Linked DNA regions of Sus scrofa. The protein of the gene in region 2 interacts with the protein of the main gene of each other region in a biochemical or structural test. Links are inferred from orthologs where the notes say so. Each region holds a gene or a part of one and is shown on either strand. Other genes may lie near its edges.

Region 1 (4,707 bases), on a different chromosome or scaffold from region 2:
ACAAGCCTGAGTAAGCTCTAGGGGCTGGAAAGACATCTGCCCTCATGCTCGATGCACACGCGTGCCACCGGCATTCAAGGCTTGAAGACATCTTGGGAGGGACCAAAATCAGCTACCAATAATCCAAACGGATGGGTTCCAGAGCTTTTCAGAAATTCAGGACAATCTTTTTGAGGCAGGTAGATTTTGGAGCCTCCGTTTCTTCCAACAGATGTCTGGGTTTTGTTTTATGGTTTTTTCAAGTTCAGGCCCAGATAAGACACGTAACAGTGGTAAGGTGACTCTACTCATGCACAGAGAGAGCAGAGCCATATAACCAAACTCCTGTCCAGGTGCCAACTTCCCAAAGAAGGAGAAGGGAACGTAGATGAAGGGAACCAAGCAGAGGCAGTCTCTCCACTGAACTAAGCGGAGCCTGCAGGTCCTCGGAGGACCCTGGAAACTGGTGGTGGCCTCTGACCATTATCTCAAGTGGTCTGATTACATTTCACTGTAAGACTCCGACATAAAGACAGAGGCTTGGTTTGGGTTTTTCCTCGGGTATTTGATAGCTGGTTGGGAACAGAGACTGCTGGGAAAACAAGTTTATGCCTGCACAGAAAAACAGTTCCCAGCTGAGATAAAATGATTAAACTCTGCTTGAGCAGCTTATCAGATTGAAACATCCCTGTACCTTTGGCCTTAAACCCCACCCAGAACAGCTATGTTCTTTCAGTGCGGGGTTGCTGTTGTTTAATTACAGAACAAAAGCTGCAGCCTCCATACAAACATCACGTTCAGCTCTTCAAGGATCTGCAGAGCGGCTCTCAACTGTCTCTCTCCCCTGCAAACGGGTGAGATGATACAAGTTTTGTTCTCAAACCCACTCCCTCATTGTCTGCTTCTCCGAGATTCACTTATTCTCTTCCTTTGCAGGGAGGTAGACCAGAAGCTCCCCCAGGAGTCCGCATCATTACAAGACAGGAAGTGGCCTGAAAAGACCGGAAGTTGAAGGAAAGGCGTGACGTTGGGGAGACCACCGAAGCCGTCCTCATTTTACAGATGAGGACTCTGAGAGAGTACAGGGCCTTCCTTCGTTCCACGGTTGTTTCGAGAGCCCAAAGAGAAAAATGCGTTTTCAAGCATTTGGGAAACCGGAAGATGCTGTGGCGACATTAACAGAAACCATGGCCCGCTTAGACACTCCAGGACACCTGCCTGCCCCGTGGTGATGACTAGAGGGAAAGAGCGGATTAGTGCCATATATTTAGGTCCCACGGTCTGGTAGACTCCACCGCCGGGTTTATAAACCAATGCTCGCGTCATATCTGCTCGAAGCCTGCTGTACCTTTTCTCCTCTGGAAACAGGCGCTCACGTCAACACCTATGAGCGGTTTTTGTGCAGGTACACGGGGCAGCACCTCGGTGCTTCGGGGAAGCGGGTGCAGGTGCCCAGCAGTCCTCGGCCAGACCCACCTCCTTCTCCACCCTGCTTATTTATTTAATTTTCAGCAGAAGCTGAAGAGAAGGAAAAAAGATAACACTTCTCTGCTCCAGAGGAGTCTCCCTTGGGTCTCTCGGGGGGCACTGCAGAGTGGAAAAATCTCCCTAAACAAAGGAAGGTATTATAGGGAATAAAAGGGCTAAGCCTGGGCTCTGCTCCCTGCCCCCAGCGTCTGCGCCAGGGCTTGGAGCTGGTGACCACAGGGAAAGGGTGGGCCTGGGTCAGAGAGGGCAACGAGCTTCTAGGCTTACAGTCAGCTGGAGGGCACTGCTGACTGCTGGTAACTGCAATTTATTTTAAGAAGAAATTCAGAAAAATAAGCGCAAAAACACCCAACTTTGCCGCCTGCTGCTGTTTCTATACTCAGCCAGGACTGTGGTACATGAGTCACTTGGTCCAAAAAGGTTGGAAGGGGCTGGTAGGGGAGGCCGTGTCATTACAAGGTTGCAACACCACGTCCTGACATAACCCTAGTTTCTGCTCCAGATGAAGAAGATGCACCTCGCTCACTGCTGCAATTCCGGTCCAGTTAGTGGGCAGAGAAGCCTGTTTTATTCCGAAGCTCTGCAAAATAAAGCTTTCTCATAGATGGGACCATGGAGCAAGGGAATGCATCTTAAGATTGCCAAAAGAAGAAGAAAAAGAAGGAAAACCCTTTTGCTGCTGCCTGTGGGCACTGCTTGTTCAAACAGAACACGAGTCCCAGATGAGGACTGGGAGCAGAATTTTGCATACCAAGAAGTTTCAGGAGCCTAGTCTTACTAAAGATTAAAACTGGAACCTCCAATCCATAGGAGAAAAAGAAACTAGCCTTTATTGAGCACCTGCTGTTTACCAGGCACTGCATGGCCTCTCTCTGTAGACCATACATGCTGTGATTGGACACCCAGATTACAGCATCAATGCTGCACCACTGGGCACGCTCCCAGCCTACTCTCAAAGCCACCTGAATGGGGCAGCCACCTCACCCTGTCCACCATGCATTTACCTTTTTGCAGGATCTCCAGATGCTCCCACAAGATGTCTCCAACGAAGTCTGGAGCCAGCTCGAGAAAGCAGTCTTTCCCCAGCGCACAGAGGGCTGCTCCGTTCATACAGAACTTCTGGAAATCCACACCTTTCAGGCTGAACTCATTGACAGCCCACATCACCCAGTCCCGAACATGGGTCTCTGTCCACTGCCGGGGATCTGAGGCAAGAGAGCAAATCAAGTTCCAGCAGATCAGGCTCTTAACTCTTCAGAGAGGACAGGAAAGGATCTGACCTTGGCCAAGCATGGTCTCAGATTCCCAGAATTAGGAATGCCCAACAGAGCACCTGCCACAAGCCTCCTGCCCATGTGCATCATCCCCATCTTCTCTCTCCTGCCAGCTAGGAGTCACTGTCATCAGCCAAAAAGGAACAGCGTTTTCTCTACCCACGGAATCTGCAGGCAAAGATTCCAGGACTCCCCTCTCTTCCGGCCTTACTTCCATCAAACTTTTCTTTAAAGCCTGGGACAAGGGAACAGATGACTTCTTTAACAGTGACAATAACAGAGTCAGCTATGCTCCAGATGCTGCACTCACCTATCCCTGCTCTTAACTCTCGTAATTTACTCTATTGCCTTATGCTTAACCATTTTTATCTGAATTACAGTTAGTGTAGTAGAACCTAGGTAAGAGAGGAGGACTGGTTCCAGGAGCCCCTTGGGTACCAAAATCCATGGATGCTTATGACCCTTATATAAAGTGGTTGCGTACACACAGCCCTCTGTAGCTGTGGATTCCCACCTCCTCAGATTCAACCAACTAAATCCGATCTGTGCTTGGTGGAATGTGCCCTGGGATACAGAGGACCTGCTGTGACAATCATAGCAATTAGTAATATAAGTCATTCAAATGATAGTAGAAACAACCTTACTAGGTACCTGTATTGTACCAGATACCTTGCAATGTTACGCACATATCATGGGCCCTGCGATGAATGCCAGGGCAGAACAGATAATACATAATCTTTCTGTGTGGCCCCTGGTTTAACATGACTACACCAGCTAATGACACTTAAAGAGCTCAGATGATGGCAGACTGCGGTGCCCACAGCCTGCCTGCTCTCAAAGACATTGTCTTCAATCTAGAAGATGACTTTATGAGATGTTGGAAAACCCAGTGGTCAGAAATCAGAAATCACTGTATGCTGCCTTATGACTGGGCACCGCTGTCAGCTGAGGCTTGTGGGAAAGCAGAGCACATGGAAAGGTGTGCAGACACATTTACTGAATCTGCCCAAGGCCTGCACCTGGCAGGGTGGAAGCCTCCCATGAAGCAGCAGCACTGACCTGGTGTAAAGTCAGCATTTCTCTTACTCAATAGAAAAGTGTTCTTTCTGCTTTCAGTTGCTCAGGAGATGCTGCTTGGTCAAGGCCTAAGTCTTCCCCATTTTTCCTTTCTGACAACTCAAGCCACTTCCCCTTACAGTCCTGAACAAACCCTTTCAGATGAGAACACCCAAGTATAAACACATTTCACCAAAGGACATGGAACAGAAAAGAGTCAATTCCCAGAAATGCAGTTTGCTGAGTTCATCCAATGGCGGCCGCAGCATGACTCGGAAACCATGCTTTCCCAACTTGTCTGACTGTGGAGCCACTTGAAGAGCTTCAGAATTACTGATGCTAAGAGCAACGGTGACTTAACTGGCTTGGGACATGACCTGAGCTGTGGAATTTTTTGATAATCCCCTATCTAATGTGCGAACAAGTCTGGGCACCACTAAGACCAAAACCAAGATGGCAGCCACAAGCCCGAGAGATAAAGGAGCACCCTATGTGCCCGTGCTTGTTCCAGCGGATGTCCGCAAAGACCTGGAGCTGCTGACTGAAGGGCAGTGAGTAATAATGTCTACCTCACCCAACAGGTAAGGAAACTAACCATACCTCAAAGTCTGATCACTTCTCTCCCTTTCCGATTACAGAACATACCTTTTGGGATTCCCAGGCGTTGCTGCTCTTTAGAAAAACCACTGAATGTAGCTTTCAAGGCTTGAGACATCATTTCTTTGCTGCTTGGAGTTAGGAGTGGGACATCTGCACATTCCATATCTGTCAGAAAAAAATAATATCATATGAATACTAGCAAAATTTAATAGGCGACGGAGTTCGCTAGACGGATGGTGGAGATTACTTTGCAATCCCCATAAATATCAAATCATTGTGCTGTACACCTGAAATGAATATAATGTTATAT
Region 2 (4,707 bases):
TGGCAACACTGGATCCTTTGACCCACTGTGCCAGTTCTGGCGCTGCAGAGACGCCACCCTCCTGGTATGCCATGGCAGGAACTCTGATGAAGTCGTTTTTATCTGTGCATTTACTTGGTGGCGGCCTTGGTTACAGTGCTTGTCCTGTGTCATTGCCGGCGCGAATCCAAGAAGAGGTTCAGCTGTGGACTCACCTGTGATGAGTACCTCGTCCCTGCTGCCTCATACATGCTGTCCCATCCCTGGGTGCTCATGCTCACCTGCGCCAGTGTGCTCAATTGAAACGATCGTCAGTTGGTCAGAACACACGCACGCGCGCAGAGCTTCTTTGTAACGAGTAACTAGTGTGGAGGTTTGCTTTTCAGGATGAGTACTATCACTTATTAGCAGAGAAAATCTACAAGATACAAAAGGAACTAGAAGAAAAACGGAGGTCACGTTTACACAAACAAGGCATCTTGGGGAACCAGCCCGCCTTACCAGCCCCTGGGACGCAGCCCCCTGGCATACCACAGGCCCAGCCCGTGAGACCGCCAAGTAAGGACTGCCTTTCTGGCTCTCCGTCTGCCTCCCCGCTTCTCCTTCTGCATCTGGGATGATTTCTGAGCATGTGGAATCATGTTCCCAGGAAGCCTGTGCTTAGAAAATTGTGGGGGTGGCCGTGGCATGGCCGAGGCCATGGCCTGTGTTTAGAAGTTGAGTCCCCCTGGTGGATGGGCCTCGAAAGGGTGTGCCAGCGTCAGGCTGCTCGGTGCTCTTGCCCCTGTTGACTGGCTTTCTCTGTAAGTTTGCAAGATGATTTTCTGTAATGCTGTTTTTTCTGCCCTTGCAGATGGGCCCATGCCCCTGCCTGTGAACCGCATGCAGGTTTCTCAAGGTACCAAACTATTACTGTCACTCACATTCTGGTTTCACATTCACAGCCACAGAGTCGATGGGTGTGTCCTCTTCCCTCTGTGTTTCTCTGTCGCTCCTTCTCTTCCTCCCGCTCCTCCTTGCTGATGAGCAGCATCCACGTTCATGGGCAGTACGGCATATCTGATGCAGTTGGAAGTCTCGAGATCATAGGGGACTTTTCCAGGGAGATCGGGAGTTAACCCTTTGTTTGTTTGTGTTTTGGATGGACAAGACGTTGCCCTTAGGAAGAGTCTCCCAAAAAAGGCACTGTAGGTGAGGGAGAGAAACTCTGAACATTCTGAACGGAGCGCACTGAGCCCGCCCTGGGGCAGGGGCACTGCCAGGGGCGAGGTGAGGAAAGCGCGGTGGTTGCTCTGGGCCCCGTAGAGGCTGGCCAGGGAAGGTTGGTGCTCAGAGAGTCCTTGTCAGGCCGGGCTCTTGGCAGCTGGTCTGAACAGCTTTCAGAGGTTCTTTCTCCCGTTGAGATTCTTTTTGTTGGTGATGATTGAAGCAGTCATTTGAGTTTGGGAGTTTGGGGGTGAGGGTCATTTCAGAGCTTTTACAGCTCTTGTCAAATTGAGACATGAACAGTAGGATGATTTTACAGCTTGCGAAATGAAATAGTGACATTATCCAGATTCCAAAGCAAGGCTTTCCTGCTGTGTGTAGAGGAGTTGAAGAGGGGAGAAGAGGCCGATTTAAAGGTGTGGTAAGTGTGGCCACTGTAGCTCAGCGGGTTAAGAACCTGACATAGTGTCCGTGAGGACGCACGTTCAATCCCTGACCTCGCTTAGTGGGTTGAGGATCCGGCATTGCCTCACGTTGTGGTGTAGGCTGGCAGCTGCAGCTCCGATTCGAGTCCTAGCCTGGGAGTTTTCCTATGCCACAGGTGTGGCCATATAAAGAAAAGGAGCACCTAAGTTTTTAAAATAAAAATAAAGGTGTGGTAATTGTACTGCCTACTGAAAAAGACCTGGTGGATAAACTGATCATGCGGAGGAAGCTTTTCAGAGACGTGTTTAGATGGGCTAGGTGTGAGGGCGAGAGGAAACAAGAAATCAGAGAAGCTGAGCCTTAGGAAAGTGGCTGGTGCTGCGTCGGGATGGCATGGAAGGTTCTGGTCTGGGATCTTGAGCAGAGCGGGGAAGGAGGTGTTTGCTAAGGAAGCACAGGCCCCCTTACCAGCACATCGAGGTTTGAAAAGCGGCTCTTTATGGTGCTATTTCTTCGTACATCTTTTTCTCTTATTTAATACAATCCTCATGGAGAGGGGGACGCTTTTGTATTATAGGCTTCTCGGGAAGTCCTGGGCCTGTGCTGAAACCTAGTTAAATAGGTGACATTTCTAAGCGGTGCTGAGGGGGTCCCGTGTTCCTTGAGGCCCCCTGACCCCGCACCTGTGTTAGGCGGTGCCTCCAGGATTCTGTCCCGCGCCACTGTGGGTCCTCAGACTTACTGAACCAGCGTTTATGGAGAGCTCAGAGGTTATCCTGGGGAATGGCTAAGGAAGAGAGCCCGTGGTCCAGAGACAGGCGCAGCTGGTGTGCTGTCTTTGATGGTGCAGCGCCCCTGGGAACGCGAAGGCAGCGTGGCAGTGAGATCCCTCCCGCCTGTGGAGAGGAGGCTGAGGTTGAGAATTGCCAGCCTCAGGGCACTTCCGGAACACGTGATGTGCTTGCAAAATTAAAACCATGTTTTGAGTCTTACCGCAGATTCTCACGAGAAGTCTAAAGCCTGGAAGGTCTGGGGTGGTGGGAGCAGGCTTCCTACAAGAGAGGAGCTGGGAGTCAGGTGCCCCAGAAGGCTCGCACGGCGGGCTGGGTGGGCGCCCTGGCACCAGCTGGCCGCCTCCGTCTGCTTTGTCACCGCGACATGTTGGCACGAGTGCTGCCCCAGCCTCGTCTGCTCGCAGCTTACCTGCCTTTCTGCCTTCACCTCCTCATGCTGCCCTGCCACCCACCCCACTGCACCACCCTCACCACCGCAGCTTTGGTGCCATTTTTCCTGACCAGTCTGTTACTCAGCCGTCTCTTCTGACTGAGGGGGTTTCCTTTCCGTTGTATACGTAGTGTGTGTGTGTGTTCATTCTGTTTTGCTTAGAGTTTATTTGGTGAGTTGTGATTCTCTTTTCCTGTGGGTGCTCTTCCTAATGAACCGCTGTGGGTATCTTCACAGGGATGAATTCATTTACCCCAATGTCCTTGGGGAACGTACAGTTGCCACAAGCTCCCATGGGACCGCGCGCAGCATCCCCCATGAACCACTCTGTCCCAATGAACAGCATGGGCTCTGTTCCAGGGGTAAGTGCTGCTGCCTGCCTCGGCCGGGCCGAGGGGCCTTGCTCGAGTGGGGCGCATCCTCGCTGCAGGGAAACGTGTCGATTGCTGGGAATCCTGTGCTACCTGCTCCCTCAGATTAGGATTGTGCTTTATTTCCTCTGATTCTCTCTCTCCCTCCCCCGCCACTTCCCTTTCCCTTTCTCTCTCTCCCTCTCTGTCTCAACTTTACTATAACAAGAATTATTGGACCATTATTTATTTTTATTGAGATGACAGATTCCTAGGAACCCATGACGTAATGAAAAGATGGGAATTCTGAGGATGGGGCCAAGCCGCCTCAGAGGAGGGACCGAGAGGGACTTGTCAGTGTCTGGTGACTCCTAGAGTTTCCTTTCCGGAGGCTGCTTTCTTAAGTGCCTCCAAGAACTCATAAAAGGCACATTTGGGACTTGAAGCTGTAGCACACTGTTTATTGGTGTGTATGCAGAGGACTGTGTGAAGTGGGCTCGTTAGAAATGGCGCTCGAGAAACTTAGAGGGAGGCTGAGAGCAGCAGGTCTAGGGAGTGGTGGGTCCTCTCCAGCGAGGGAGGGTTTGGAGATTCCTGTCTCGTCCCGCTTATCCAGCAGGCTCTGGCCCTTGCCGCCCCCTGAGCTGTCTGTGACCTTGTCTTTTAGATGGCCATTTCTCCTTCCCGAATGCCTCAGCCTCCAAACATGATGGGCACACATGCCAACAACATGATGGCCCAGGCGCCTGCGCAGAACCAGTTCCTGCCGCAGAATCAGTTCCCGTCAGCCAGCGGGGCCATGAGTGTGAACAGCGTGGGCTTGGGGCAGCCGGCGGCACAGGCAGCCGTGTCCCAGGTACTGTTCTTCGGGGCTCTGAGCCTCTCCGTGGATGCAGCCCAGCTTCCCCCTGACCTCAGCAGGTCTTACTAGGTCATGGACGTGAGGATTCTAGACTTAACGTTTCGTGTCCTAGCATCTCTGGATCCCCCACCCCCGTGTCTTCCATCGTTTCTGCCTTGTCTGGAATGACTCTTACCAACTTGGAGTGAACTTCATGCAAAAGTGGAATGAATGTATTACAGCTTTTTTGGTTTGTGTGCTTCTGTGTTTTGTTTTGGGGTTTTAGTTGTCATTTTCTTGGTTATCATTTGTGTATTTTTTTGAAATTTTTTTGTCTTATTAGGGCCGCACCTGCGGCATGTGGAGGTTCCCAGGCTAGGGGTGTAACCGGAGCTACAGCTGCCGGCCTACACCACAGCCACAGCAACACCGGATCCTTAACCCAGGGAGCGAGGCCAGGGATCAAACCAGCATCCTCATGGATTCTAGTCGGGTTGGTTAACCACTGAGCCACAAGGGGAACTCCTAATTGTGTATTTTAAATTCTAAGTTTTACATGTGATCCTGAGAGACACTGGATTTAAAAGAGGGGGTGAGGAAAGGCCCCATGAGTTCACTCCTAATGTCTGACCCGCCCAGGCGAAGTCAGGCTTAACTGGGTCGTTTGACTAGTTCTCCTCT
Region 3 (3,941 bases), about 20 Mb from region 2:
CTCTGCCCTCCAAGACCAAGGTGGCCTGGGCCAAGCTTTTCCCCAAGTCGGACCCCAAAGGTGAGAGAAGCGTGGGAGCCAGTGTGTGTTTGGTAAAAACTGGGTGCATGGAGTTCCTGTCGTGGCTCAGTGGTTAATGAATCTGACTAGGAACCATGAGGTGGCGGGTTCGATCCCTGGCCTCGCTCAGTGGGTTAAGGAGCCGGCGTTGCCAGGAGCTGTGGTGTAGGTCGCAGACGCGGCTCAGATCCCGAGTTACTGTGAGCTGTGGCGTAGGCCAACAGCTACAGCTCTGACTGGACCCCTAGCCTGGGAACCTCCATATGCCGCAGGTGCGGCCCTAGAAAAGGCAAAAAGACAAAAAAAACCTGGGTGCAGGGGAAAGTACATGAGCCCTGCAGCTGCCTGAGTAGACAGGCCGCTGGACACAGAGAAGCAAAGTAATGCTTCTGGGAGCTCCTCTGGCCCTCCCTTTGACCCCTGACCCCTGCCCTTCCCTAGCTCTTGACCTGCTGGACCGGATGTTGACCTTTAACCCCAACAAACGGATCACAGTGGAGGAAGCACTGGCTCATCCTTACCTGGAGCAGTACTACGACCCAACAGATGAGGTGGGCCAGCCAGAGAGGCAGGCCGGATGGGTGGGCACCCCTGGGTCCCTGTCCTGAGCCTCCCCGCCTCTTTGCCACCTCAGCCAGTGGCCGAAGAGCCTTTCACCTTCGACATGGAGCTGGATGATCTACCCAAGGAGCGGCTGAAGGAACTCATCTTCCAGGAAACAGCCCGCTTCCAGCCCGGAGGGCTGGAGGCCCCCTAACCTGGACAGATGCCTCTGCTCTCTGGGGCCTGGTGAGTGCCCCGCAACCACCCACGCCCAGAATCCCCCTGAGAGTAGGGCGCCCAGCAGGCCCCCACGCAGTCCCAAGCTTTCCCATATCCACAAGCCACAGGTGTGGTGGCAACAGAAGGACCAGAGCCAGCCTCGTCCACAGACCCGGTGGTCCCCTCCGGCCCCACACGTCTCCCATCTATCAACCCCTGGCAACTCCAGCCCCAGCGAGCGTTCAGAGGTCACTGAGGGCCCCTCCCACCCATCATGGAGCAGAACCAGGCTTTGGCTCCCCTTGGACGGGCAGAGAGGCAGGTGGAGCAGTAATTGCTTTGGGAGGAGCTGCCAGCACCCAGCCTGACCCATATATGCCAGGCCTTTTCACACTTAGTATCAGGTCAGCAGTTCACATACCTGTGGGGGACCCTGCCGGGCCTCCCCCCACCCCCACTCTTCTCTAGTTTCCCTTCTGTCCCAGGCCAGCTGCGGCCTGATAGCAGAAGGCGGACACCCCCGCGTTCAAGGCCCGGCTCTGATGCGTAATAAGGGCTGCTTGATCTTGCGCAAGACACCTCACCCTCCTCCACCTCAGTTTCCTGGAGACAGTCCTGATAAGGAGAGCAAACACCTCCCAAGCGCCACGCATTTAGCAAAGAGGTTCCCGTGTGTTCACTCACCAGTCCTTAGAGCAGTACCTTGAACCGGGTGCTCCTGGTTAGCCCCATTCCCAGATAAGGAAACCCAGCCGCATCCCACTCGGCTGCGCAGATAACATGAGGGGAGCTGAGGTCAGGGCTCCGGCAGGCTGGTGGGGGACACGGCTCGGATGGTCAGGGTCGGAAAATGAGACACATGAACACGGGGCGATCTCGACAGGGCTCTCTACTTCTGCAGAAGGGCGCGGGCGCTCAAAAAGCACGTGCAGAGAAGAAAAGACCCTCCCAATTGACCCCTAACGCAGGGGATGTACCCTCCCCCTTTCCATGGGTCAGGTCAGGGTGCCCATCCTTCTTGCTTGGCTACTTTGAAACAAATTGTTCCTGGGAGGCGGGGTCTCAGGAAGGTGTGTCAGCCCAAACCCGAGCAAGATGGAGCAACCATGGAGCAACCGAGATTTCCTGTGATAGAAAAGTCATTATATTACTTTCCACAGGTTCATGGTTTCTAATTAATGGTTCCTCTCCTGCCTGCCTTTTTGTTTAGGCCCTGCCTCCTGCCTGCCCCTCCCCTGCCGGACTGTTAGAAAATGGACCCAGAGCCCAGCCCAGATCACCCCCCCAGGCGACAGCCAGCCCAGGTTCGGGGCGGGGGCAGAGGGTGGGCCTGGCCACCTCCCCTTGCTTAGCTCAGGCGTCCTGCTTCAGGCAGGCTGATGCACCCTCCCCGCCTCCCAGGACCTGAGGGGCTCAGGTGGCCCCAAAGCAAATTTCCCCCTGCTGCTGCTCAGCCTCCGCCTGCCCCCCCCCCGCCCCGCCCCCAGCTATCCCAATCCCTGGTAGTTCTGGAATCCAAGGGCTCTGGCTGCCCCAGGACCTACTGAGGTGAGGGGGGTGGGGCAGAGAGGACCCTGAGTAGGGACTCAGGGCCAGCCCTGCCCCGCTTGCCTCATTAAAGCCACACCCCATGTCCCCTGAAGGAACATTCCTAAGGCTCAAGGGCTAGTATCCCGGAGGAGCAGGGCCCCGGCCTAAGCCCCTTCTCCCCCCCCCAACCAAGCTGCCACGTCTAACGTCCCCGCTGCTTCTGTGTGTGGGTGAACAGAAGTGGAGGTGGGGGCCCCTGGAGCGCCCAGCGCCCCCGCCCACCCCCGTGCCTGTATCTAATATATAAATATAGAGATGTGTATACGGATGGCCCTGGTCTGTCTGTGTTTGCCGTCGCCCGGACCCTACCCCTTGCTGCCTGGGGGATGGACTCTCCCGCCCAGCCGCCCGCTTCCCATCTGTGGCTTTACCGGGCGGGTGGCACAGTGGCCTTGGGCTCCCCCGCTGGCCAGGGTTAAGGATGGGAGTGGAAGGCGTTCCAGATGCCTAGACAGAGTGGGCTCAGTTTCCCCCTTAGTCACTCTCCTGCCCCCTCTCTCGTGACTTCCGGTGTCCAACAGGCTGGGAGTGATTCTAGAGTGACTCAGGGACACCCACTGCACCTCCGGATTCCCTGGAAAGGGCGAGGGGCCGGATGGTGTACACCCCGAGGCCACACGCCTCAGCGGGAGGGGGAGTGTTGTTGCAGAGCTGGTGTAGGGCGGGGGGAAGGTGAGGGGACACACACACCTGGTTCCCCCAGTGTGATCTCGCAGAGAGGGACACTGGGCAAGCGTGAAGGACCTGGGGTACGAGGACCAGAGCTGCCGGGCCTCTCCTCCTGCCTCTACCCCATCCCCAGCGGAGCCCTGCAGCCTGGCCCCGGGCCAGCAGCAGGCTCAGCAGGTCCCAAGGGGTGTGGTGGAGCCAGCCTACATCAGCCAGGCAGTCGGCAGAGTCCATCGGGAACGGCTGAGCTCGTGGCAGCCGGAGTCCGGAGAGTGGCGCGGCCATGAGCCCTCTGCTGTACTACGCCCTGCCCGCCCTGGGCAGCTATGTCATGCTCTCCATCTTCTTCCTGCGCCGACCCCGCCTGCTGCACACACCGTGGGCTCCAGCCTTCTATCCCCGCCTGGGAGCCCACCGGGGAGGTGAGTTGGACCAGGGTAGGCATGGGGCAGGAGGCGGTGGCAGTGGGGGGTGCTCCTGAGGATGGAGAGAGGGTAGCAAGACAGGTGCCAGGGTGGACAGCAGAGAGAGGGCTAGGTCGTCCAAAGGGCAGGATGAGAAAAGGAGAGCAGAGTTCAAGGGAGGCGGAAGGCCAGACGGCAGGGCGGAAGAGGGCAGAAGAGGCCCTGCAGCCTGAACTGACGGGAAAGTGCAGGGAGGGAAACGGGGGAGAGGCAGGGGTCAGGGCCCCAGGAACCCACCCTAGCTGCCTCGTGCAGGATCTGGAGAGCGCCTGGAGAACACCATGGAGGCCATGGAGAAGTGAGTCTGCCTGCCGGGCCGAGCTGCTGGGTAAGGCTGGGCCAGCTGTGCCAGGCCTGACACCAAGGGATGCTGTTCTTCTTCCTGGTCTGAGTGAC
Region 4 (4,707 bases), on a different chromosome or scaffold from region 2:
AGTCACTGGTAACAAGTCAGAAGTGATAGAGAAGCCTCTCTTTGATTTTAGCCTCATAACTGGAGGAACAAAAGACCCCCAAGTTGATGAAACAAATAATCCCTCAATGCTGAAAACACACAAAAAAAAACATACCGGGTCTCTTAGTCGCAAAGCCACTTCCAGCTGCACTGCTTCCTATGAGGTGGTGAGGGAAAGTCCCATTACAGAAAAACCTGAACAAGAACATAAATCAAATAAAACACCATCATTAAAATCCCCACTCCTTCCAATTCCAGCCACTAAATCAATTTCTCAAAAACAAGATTCAAAGAATGCCTCCAAAACCACCAAAACAAATTCTTCCTTTCCTGGAGAACATTCAAATCCCCTGGACAAACCCATTGTGGAAGAAAATCAGGGTTCTTCTTCAATATCCAAATCGCAGGGTTCTTGTCCTCGTGTTTTAAAAGGGAATAAAAGTACATCAGGAATCCAAAGAGATCCTGATGAAAATTTAAGTGATACATTACAAAAAGCCAAAGAGGTGCTACAGTGTCACGAATCATTGCAGAATCCACTTCTTAGCACTTCTAAAAGCACCAGGAATTATGCAAAAGCAAGTAGGAATGTAGAAGAGTCTGAAAAAGGATCTTTGAAGATTGAGTTTCAAGTACACGCATCAGAAGATGAAAGCGATGGAGAGATATCTGACACAGAAAAGCATGGAACAAAAATTGGAACCTTGGATTCTGTAACTACAGAAGTTTTATCCTGCAGTACTCATGCTGCTGATGAGAAAAGGGGGGATGACCAAAACCTGAAAACATCTAGAAGACCATCCACCTCTCCATGTAACTCAACAGTTGACCAGAAAGAATCTGAGTTGGAAATGACATCTATAACCAGCCCACACTCTGGCTTACTGCTAGATTTGAAAACCTCTCTAGCAGAGGCACAGGTTGATGACCCTGTTAAACCTCATGTATCTTATGAAACAGAAGGCTTCGAGAGTACCAGCCTGGATGCCGAGCTTCAAAAAAGCGATGTAGGTCAGCCCTCAGGTCCCCTCCTGCCTGAACTAAGTAAGCTTGGCTTTCCTGCCTCACTCCAGAGAGATCTAACCCGGCACATTAGCTTAAAGAGCAAAACTGGAGCACACCTTCCTGAGCCAAACCTCAATAGTGCTCGCCGCATTCGCAATATCAGTGGTCATCGAAAGAGTGAGACAGAGAAGGAATCTGGACTCAAGCCAACCCTTCGGCAGATTCTAAATGCATCTCGGAGAAATGTCAACTGGGAACAGGTCATTCAGCAAGTAACCAAGAAAAAGCAAGAACTAGGCAAAGGCTTACCCAGGTGTGTGCTTCTTTTCAGTTTCCATTTCTCTTTTTTTCTTTTAAACTTGCCCTTTGACTCTGGTCAAGAGAATTCTACTTGTTAAATTTAATTAAATGTTTGCAAAAAATATACGTTGTAGATGTCTGGTTTAAATATCCAAGAGTGACTCCTACTCTGTAACAAATGAAATAAAGTGTTTCCTAGCAAGGACTTGAGGTTAAAAAGAAGCATACCTGCTTCTGAGAAATGAGGTGGGGACATAGGAAAAAACCATCAGAAATCCGGCATTTTGGTGATGGGGCCATAAAGTCGCAGCATAAAAAAGTATGTCTGTAAATCTGTATCTATTTGTAGATCTTAATCAGTGGTACGACTTTTAGGTGTAAGTGTTTCCATTGCATTTTACTTAGAACATGTAGATGCTTATCTTTCTGTATTTACTCTGGACATTATATTCATAATCACAAAATACTTTCTCTGAAGTACTTATGTAGTAGTTTGGCTATTCATCTTTTGTTGAGGCACTAAACTTTTCTGAATGGTAAAGCAGCCTTTACCATAGGTTTGCTACTTGAAAATCATCCTGCTGTGTTACAGTTGTATAGCCATCCAGGCTTAAATTTCTATCCTTGTTGAAATAACATAATTATTATGCCCCCTTTTCTATTCCCATAACTTGTATCCTTGAGATTATAAAGTTCTTAGCATGGTGTCTCCTGCTTGTGAATGCTCACTAAACATTATTGTTTGTCTTCTATTTGCTGTTAAAACTTACACATTTATTATCGTTGATTTAGAACTCCACATTAAATCTTCAGTTTTACTCCCCCCTTTGTATATAGTTGTACACAAAAAATATTTAATTTAGAACTCATTACATTATAATACTTATAATAGCATTACATACTTTATGTTTGGAACTCCTACTAAACTGTTCCTTGAGGGCAGAAACCATGTTATTTGTTTGTATTTGTAACCTCAGTGCCAAACAGAATTGGGCACATTAAGTGGTTTCCCCCTTTCCCAACTATGTCTGATTTATGATTTTTTTTTCTTTTTATTTCTTGAGGTTTGGCATAGAAATGGTGCCTCTGGTTCAAAATGAACAAGAAGACTTGGATTTGGATGGGGAGCCTGATCTGTCCAATCTAGAAGGATTCCAGTGGGAAGATATTTCCATTTCTTCATCCCCTGGGTTGGCAAGGAAACGAAGCCTTTCGGAGAGTAGTGTGATCATGGATAGGGCTTCTGTGTATAGCTTCTTCAGTGAGGAAAGTACTGGCAAAGAAAATGAGCCCCAGCAGATTTTTTCACCAGATAACTCATTGAGGTCTACACAGAGTCAGAAAACAACCATGGTCCTTAAGCAGGAAGTCACACCTCTGGCTGCCTCCCTAAGAATAGATGAAAGGGCTGAATATGATGCTACTCAAAGGCGACATAGTGCCCAGTTATCATCTGACCGTACGATTCCTTTGATGCATTTGGCGAAAGACCTGCACAGCCAGGAGAGCTCCACATCACCTTCAGAAAATCACAATGCCCAGGAGAGTAATGGAGAAGGAAACTCTTTGTCATCAAGTGCATCCTCAGCCCTTGCAATCTCCAGTTTGGCAGATGCAGCCACAGATAGTAGCTGTACCTCTGGTGCTGAACAAAATGATGGCCAGAGCATTAGAAAAAAACGAAGAGCCACTGGGGTAAGTATGATTCTTGTGCTGTTTGTAGAACATTTTATGTGGTGACTTGGCCATAATAAGAAAGACTTAACTGTTTAATCTTTCTTGGATATCTGGGGATGTGCTTCTCCCTATTCCAGAATAGAAGATTTCTGAGGTTCTTATTCTTACTTTCATATTTTTATCCTCCTGGATTCTTTCACTGAGTAGCTCTACTAAGTTAGGTGTAATAGAATAGGAATGTACAGTACTAGGAAACTATGAAGTCATCTCTAAAACTAGTCTCTAAGCCAATGATTCTTTGTATCAACTGACCAAGGAATAAGCCATATCTTCAGCTGTAACTTTATCTGTTTTCATGATACATTCTGTACTGCTACTGAAGAAGGAAACTCTAGTGTGGAATTGGTTGGGCATGTGTGCTTGTCAGCCCCCGGGACTACTAGGCTTATCCCCGAGGAGGTTTTAATACCATGAGAGTACGTGTGTGTGAGCATAGTCTTAGTCCCTGTCACTCGGTATCTTTTGTACTTCAGTTACCCATCCCGGTCCGTTACTTCACTGACACTTCTCTTTTGGCGCCTCTGTTTCTAATGTTGCGCTTAACTCTTTGTGGAACCCTTTCTAAAAAGAAAGAGTTGCTGGTGGTACTATGGTCTGGAGTTTGGCACTGTGAGAAAATGGGCCATTTCCTTTAATTCCAAGACAGTATAACAAAGTAAGAGGCATAGGTTCTAAACCTGGGTTTAACTTCCCCACCTCTCTGCCTCTTTGAGCTAGATGCTGTAGTGGGCATTGTTGGATTATGACAAAGCTGTTACCTTGAGGCTAGTCTGAGACTGTTGAGCTTTTTGTTTTGAAGATCTTCTTGCTGAATTCTAATGTAGAAATTATGAAATCAGGTAATGTATTACTAGCTTTTACCCAGGTGAAATGCTTTGCCTAAGCCCTGTGGGCTTTGCCACCTCTAGGATGCCAGGAATGTAATTTACCTTGGATTTTTTTTTTTAAATCAGATCCATTCATTCAACTAATATTTGAATTCATACCATATGCATGAGACCCCTACTGTCCTGTTAGAGATGGTAGCAGTAATGAAGAATAATGTATGATGATCTTAGAATTGATTCTTCCCTCCCAATAAACCCAAATAAACCCCAATAATGGCCTTTACATGTTTAATATTCAGTTTTCTTTATCTTCTTAGGATGGGTCTTCTCCTGAACTCCCAAGTCTTGAGAGAAAAAACAAAAGAAGGAAAATTAAAGGAAAGAAAGGTAGAGTATAGAATATTCTGGCAAAAAGAAATTGTTCTTACAGCAATTCAGCCTTTTTAAAACTTGACACCAAGTGTAGTTTATCAAACACTGATCGCCTATTTATTTATTTTTCATATTTTTGTTATCTTGCTTAAGGACATAGAAAAAATTTGATTTTCTTCCATATCCAGCTGAAATTAGAGAAGAAATACATGATGCCTCCTAGACCTGTAAGCTAAAGTTAATACATATTTTGGACAAATTGAGTTCAGTATAAAGCCAGAATGTCTCACCAGGCCTTTTGGGTGGGATGGAGAGGAATAGGACATATAGTAAAAATTTTGTCTCTGTTGGTCATTTATAGCCATTTCTCTCACTTTCGTTTTGTTTTTGTTTTTGTTTTGTCTTTTTAGGACTGCACCCATGGCATATGGAGGTTCCCAGGCCAG
Region 5 (4,707 bases), on a different chromosome or scaffold from region 2:
ACAATGGTCTGGCTTCCAGAAGCCCGGTGCTGGCCCTGGCTTTTTTTTTGTTTGTTTTTGTCTTTTTGCCTTTTCTAGGGCCTCGCCTGCAGCATATGGAGGTTCCCAGGCTAGGGGTTTAAATCGGAGCTGTAGCCACTGGCCTACGCCAGAGCCACAGCAATGCCGGATCTGAGCTGTATCTGTGACCTACACCGCAGCTCACGGCAACGCCGGATCCTTAACCAACACTGATCGAGGCCAGGGATTGAACCTGCAACCTCATGGTTCCTCGTTGGATGCATTAACCACTGAGCCATGACGGGAACTCTGCCCTGGCTTTTTAATTTTCCTGGCTGTGAGATTGTTTGAAATCCTCTCAGCTCCAGGCTTCTCTTTCTCTGTGTGCTTCTCTTGCCCCTGAATTGGAGGTGGGTTTACTTTCAACTGACATTCTTTGGAAATTGTCCCCTTTTGATTGGTGGGGGTGGGGCGGTCCTTTTCATCAGACTTGACTTGTATAAAATTAAACCTTCAGGACTCTTCTCAATTGTCCTACAGTTTTCTGCACCATTGAAATAGATCAGGGAGAACTTTAGTCTCTGTGCTCGTGTTTTACGGTCAACATCTCAGAGTAAATGCTTCCACAGATAAAGTAATGTATTTTGTCCTTTGCTTCTTGAGTTTTGGTCACTTGGCTTTCTTTTTAGCTGCGGTGGGCTGAAACTGTCTCCCCAAGGGTCGTTTTTCTGATACACACAACCAGACGGAGCTTCTCTCCCATGGGGGTCTTCGAGGTCCCTCCCGGCCCTGTTGGAAGATTCCTTGTGTTTAGGTTTGTTGACGGAATGTATTCATTTAAGTTGGTGAGACCATTACAAAGAAATTTCCGTCATTCTGATGCTGCAGGTGATTACAGGGGTACCAAAGTGTTAGACTGCACCTGGCTTTGCCGCATCTTTTGCAAATTGAAGGTTGGTGACAACCTTGCCGTCCACAAGTCACTGGCACCATTTTTCAACAGCGTTTGCCCACTTTGTGTCTCTGTGTGTGTCATCTTTTCGGTGATTCTCACAATGTTTCAAACCCTTCACCAGCAAAAAGGTTGACTCTCTGTAGACTCAGTCGATGGTAGCATTTTCTAGCAAGGGAGGACTTTTTCAAATTATCTATGTGCATTGTTTTTGAAACATAAGGATATTCTTCTGACATAATTTAGATACAAGGATGCCTTAATAAAGATAACGTCTCTATACACTGGGAAACTAAAATATTTGTATGACTTGCCTTACTGCGATACTCACTTTATTTTGGTGGTCTGGCACCGAGCCTGCAGAATCTCGAAGACATGCCCGTAAGTCACCTAGAGGAAGATAGAATCCTTTGGATTGATTTGACCCTCTCAAAAGCATGGACCGCTTTTCAGACAGGTCATTAACTGAGTTGAACCGTCATGTGTCAGCCTTCTTTGCCTCTGTCTTTGCAGCGCCAGCCTGCCTTTGACACCTTGGATGGGTCCCTGCTCTCCGTTTTCCCCCCACTAAATGAAGAACAAACGCTCCAAGAAGTGCCAACAGGCTTGGATTCAATTTCTCACGGTAATTTGTTCCTCGGGACTTGACAAATTGAGCGTGATGTCCCTTAGCGGTTCAGTTAATAGAGAGATGACAGTTGGTGTCTTGAATCTTTGTAGGGAAAGTCAGGGAGAGGCTCTGGATCCGGGAGAAGGCAGTTTTCCTTTTTAATGCCTGTGGTGGGTGTCACCTGCCAGACGCCCCCCCCAAGGAGAGCGAGTTCCCTGCTGGGAGCAAAGGGACAGGGGAGCCCCTGAGCTTGCCCTTGGGGTGTTTCAACACAGCAGCCAGCCCATCCTCACCTCCCAGTCCACCCTGCAAAGCAGACCAGTGGGCATTACACTGCACCCCAGCTTTCCATCCTGGGTTCCCAGATCTGCCCCTCCCCCACTCCGAGCCTGGGGACGACAAATGATTCCTGCTCATCTTGACCCGTCTGTATCGGCTTCTGTACTTCTTCATGTCGTTGTTTATTCTTTTTAAAGGACTCGCACATCCGCGAATGCCTCTGCCATCACTGCGATGGGGTTATTAGTTGGAAGCATTCCAGAGATTATTTGGACACGTGAAGTTAGGTGCTAGAAAAACAGCCCAGAAAATTAATTAAAACACACGCTTACGTAAGCGTGCCCTCATGTGATGATCATGTATCCTTCTCGAAACTGCCGAGGGAATCCAGAGGAGATTGTTTTTCAGTAAAAACGGAAGGTGTGTCACCTTCCCGGGTGCTAAGTGTGATGCCCGAGGTCCCTTTGCTGGCGGCTGAGTTTAATGGAAGTCACTTCCAGATTAGCCGCTTACAAGCCCCTAAGCCTTTTGGCCAAAACCTACGCAGTTTCTTCCATTGTCTAAAATTTAAGAAGCATCTTAAATAGGAATGTTACCTAGCCATCACTGCTTTATGAAGTTTGGCAAAATCAAACTCGAGTTTTTAGATTTTTTTTTTTAATGTGTGGTTATGAGATGTATAATGTTGTCTCAATTTAAGTCAAAAGCATTTTTTGTTCATATTTATACTCTTGTAAAACATGATGCTTGCAGTTCCCGTTGTGGCTCAGTGGGTTATGAATACCACACAGGGTCCGTGAGGAGGCAGGTTCCATCTCTGGCCACGCTCAGTGGGTTAAGGATCTGTCATTGCCCCAAGCTGCAGCGTAGGTCACCGATGCGGCTCAGATCCTGAGTTGCTGTGGCTGTGATGTAGGCTAGCAGGTGCAACCCTAAAAAGAAAAAATTAAGTTCAAAATGATGCTGAAGATTGGAGATCAGAATTGTGCTTCCTGAAAAACAAGGATATTCTGCCTTCAGTCCTGCCTGTGTTGCCAGCTTGAACTAACGTCCCCGTGGGGTTTCTTTTGCAGACTCGACCAACTGTGAGTTGCCCCTGTTGACCCCATGCAGCAAGGCTGTGATGAGTCAAGCCTTAAAAGCTACCTTCAGTGGCTTCAAAAAGGAGCAGTGCCGCCTCGGCATCCCAAAGAGTAAGTGCTGCCTCCTGTGCTGCTTTCTGCACCTGCCTTGTGCTCTGCGGACGCCCCGAGACCCCCATGGCTTGGGATGACTTGATTTCAAGCATTTGTGTAGGGCATCTTGCAAAGAGGAACAGAGATGTCTGTCCTTTGAGCCAGTGCTTCATTTCACCACCCATCCAATTGAACACTTCATCCAGCCATGCTCTCAGCGCCTCAGACTCTTCCTGGGTGTTTCACTCGTTTCCTTGGACCCTGGTGCCCATCTGGGCTCTGCAGGTAAACCAGGAGTGCGTCTGGTCTCACTGTCTCCTTTTGTTCTTCCTTCTCCGGTAGATCCCTGGCTGTGGACCGAACAGCAGGTGTGCCAGTGGCTTCTCTGGGCCACCAACGAGTTCAGTCTGGTGGACGTCAACCTGCAGAGGTTTGGCATGACCGGCCAGGTGTTGTGTAACCTTGGCAAGGAGCGCTTTCTGGAGCTGGCCCCTGACTTTGTGGGTGACATTCTCTGGGAGCATCTGGAGCAGATGATCAAAGGTATCTGCCCAGCGACTGGGCTCCCTGGTGGGATGAGCGTGGCAGGGAAAGGGTGGGGGGGGCGCTCGGTGCTCTCCAGCTTTGCGGGGGGGGGTGGTCAGCCTTTCCAGTGATGTGGGGCAAAGCTGTCTGCAGGTGCCATTGGAGTGAGTCAGCTTCGTGGTGGTGATTCCAGATTCTGATCCATTTAAGTACGTGTGTGGGGAGCATTAGCCACAAGGCAGGAGCCTGAGTCACCAGGTGCTCGTTGTTGCCAGATGTCACGCATCAGAGGTGAACGTGTGGCTCAGATTGTGGAGGCGGCAAGGGTGCTTGTGTTTTGTGGTCACTTTATGGAGCCTTAAGAGATAAGTCAGCCTCAGTGAAAGGGAGCCTTTCTTCAGATAGCCCTTGACTCTTCTAGTAACTGTTCCTAAGACCAAGAATTTCTTTTATTTTCATAAACAAATGTAGAAGGAATTGATACAGATTTACACACCGATATGCAGAAACTGGCCTTTGAGGAAGGAACTCTCATCATATAGAAAGTCTTGATTTAGACCTTAAGAGAGCGATGTTGAAAGTTCATTGAGTTTAAAAGGAAAACCAAAAAAACATTATCGTGAGGGGTCATTCAAGGCAAAAATACAGGAAAATAAGTCCATTAGAAGGGTTCAGGAAATTATTTCTTATTTAATTGATTTTAAACTCCGCGTTTCAATGATCATAACAGACTGAGACTCTTAAAACGACCTTAGGGTCATTTGCCAGCTTTTTTTAGTTCTGGCTTCTGTTATTTTTAAAGACTCAAATTTTTCCTGAATTTGGACAAGACTGATTGATGGGACAAGTTTCTGGTGAATCTGTTTTTCAGCAGGCAGGTTGGACTCTTTTTGCCATTTCTCAGTGTGGGAGTCTTTGTGTGCGTGTGTGTGTGTGTGTGTGTGTGTGTGTGTGGTTGTGTGTGTGGAGGAAGTAAGCAGACAGGTGGGGGTGCTACCCTTTTCCCTTTTCAAGTTCCTGGGCAGGTGGTCCCCGTTCAGACCCCCATGGCACTGCTTTGACTTCTCTTTCTGTCGCGCTCACCACCCTGGACACACTGTCAGGGTTCGAGCCAGTGGGTCATGAGCCTCAGCAGGACAGGACCCCGTCCTTGGGACTAACCTGGA

What was found.
Region 1: the proteins of CREBBP (region 2) and ETS1 form a complex in vitro, tested with the Homo sapiens proteins (3 studies listed by BioGRID, with this or other methods). The link is inferred for Sus scrofa from reciprocal best matches to the Homo sapiens genes CREBBP and ETS1.
Region 3: of the proteins of CREBBP (region 2) and MAPK3, one has a biochemical effect on the other in vitro, tested with the Homo sapiens proteins (2 studies listed by BioGRID). The link is inferred for Sus scrofa from reciprocal best matches to the Homo sapiens genes CREBBP and MAPK3.
Region 4: of the proteins of CREBBP (region 2) and ZNF106, one has a biochemical effect on the other in vitro, tested with the Homo sapiens proteins (2 studies listed by BioGRID, with this or other methods). The link is inferred for Sus scrofa from reciprocal best matches to the Homo sapiens genes CREBBP and ZNF106.
Region 5: the proteins of CREBBP (region 2) and ETS2 form a complex in vitro, tested with the Homo sapiens proteins (2 studies listed by BioGRID, with this or other methods). The link is inferred for Sus scrofa from reciprocal best matches to the Homo sapiens genes CREBBP and ETS2.

Annotation. Positions count from the first base shown.
Region 1 is NC_010451.4:55,406,920-55,411,626, forward strand, and holds part of ETS1 (protein C-ets-1), read right to left. Parts: intron 4,563-4,707; coding exon 4,443-4,562; intron 2,673-4,442; coding exon 2,472-2,672; intron 1-2,471. UniProt on the Homo sapiens protein: Transcription factor. Directly controls the expression of cytokine and chemokine genes in a wide variety of different cellular contexts. May control the differentiation, survival and proliferation of lymphoid cells.
Region 2 is NC_010445.4:38,485,219-38,489,925, forward strand, and holds part of CREBBP (CREB-binding protein), read left to right. Parts: intron 1-365; coding exon 366-537; intron 538-832; coding exon 833-877; intron 878-3,072; coding exon 3,073-3,197; intron 3,198-3,852; coding exon 3,853-4,041; intron 4,042-4,707. UniProt on the Homo sapiens protein: Acetylates histones, giving a specific tag for transcriptional activation. Mediates acetylation of histone H3 at 'Lys-18' and 'Lys-27' (H3K18ac and H3K27ac, respectively).
Region 3 is NC_010445.4:18,290,183-18,294,123, reverse strand, and holds the end of MAPK3 (mitogen-activated protein kinase 3), read left to right. Parts: coding exon 1-60; intron 61-501; coding exon 502-611; intron 612-694; coding exon 695-817; 3' UTR 818-849; intron 850-2,032; 3' UTR 2,033-2,680; downstream 2,681-3,941.
Region 4 is NC_010443.5:128,931,520-128,936,226, forward strand, and holds part of ZNF106 (zinc finger protein 106), read left to right. Parts: coding exon 1-1,338; intron 1,339-2,389; coding exon 2,390-3,020; intron 3,021-4,206; coding exon 4,207-4,276; intron 4,277-4,707. UniProt on the Homo sapiens protein: RNA-binding protein. Specifically binds to 5'-GGGGCC-3' sequence repeats in RNA. Essential for maintenance of peripheral motor neuron and skeletal muscle function.
Region 5 is NC_010455.5:202,470,395-202,475,101, forward strand, and holds part of ETS2 (protein C-ets-2), read left to right. Parts: intron 1-1,465; coding exon 1,466-1,577; intron 1,578-2,914; coding exon 2,915-3,034; intron 3,035-3,358; coding exon 3,359-3,559; intron 3,560-4,707. UniProt on the Homo sapiens protein: Transcription factor activating transcription. Binds specifically the DNA GGAA/T core motif (Ets-binding site or EBS) in gene promoters and stimulates transcription.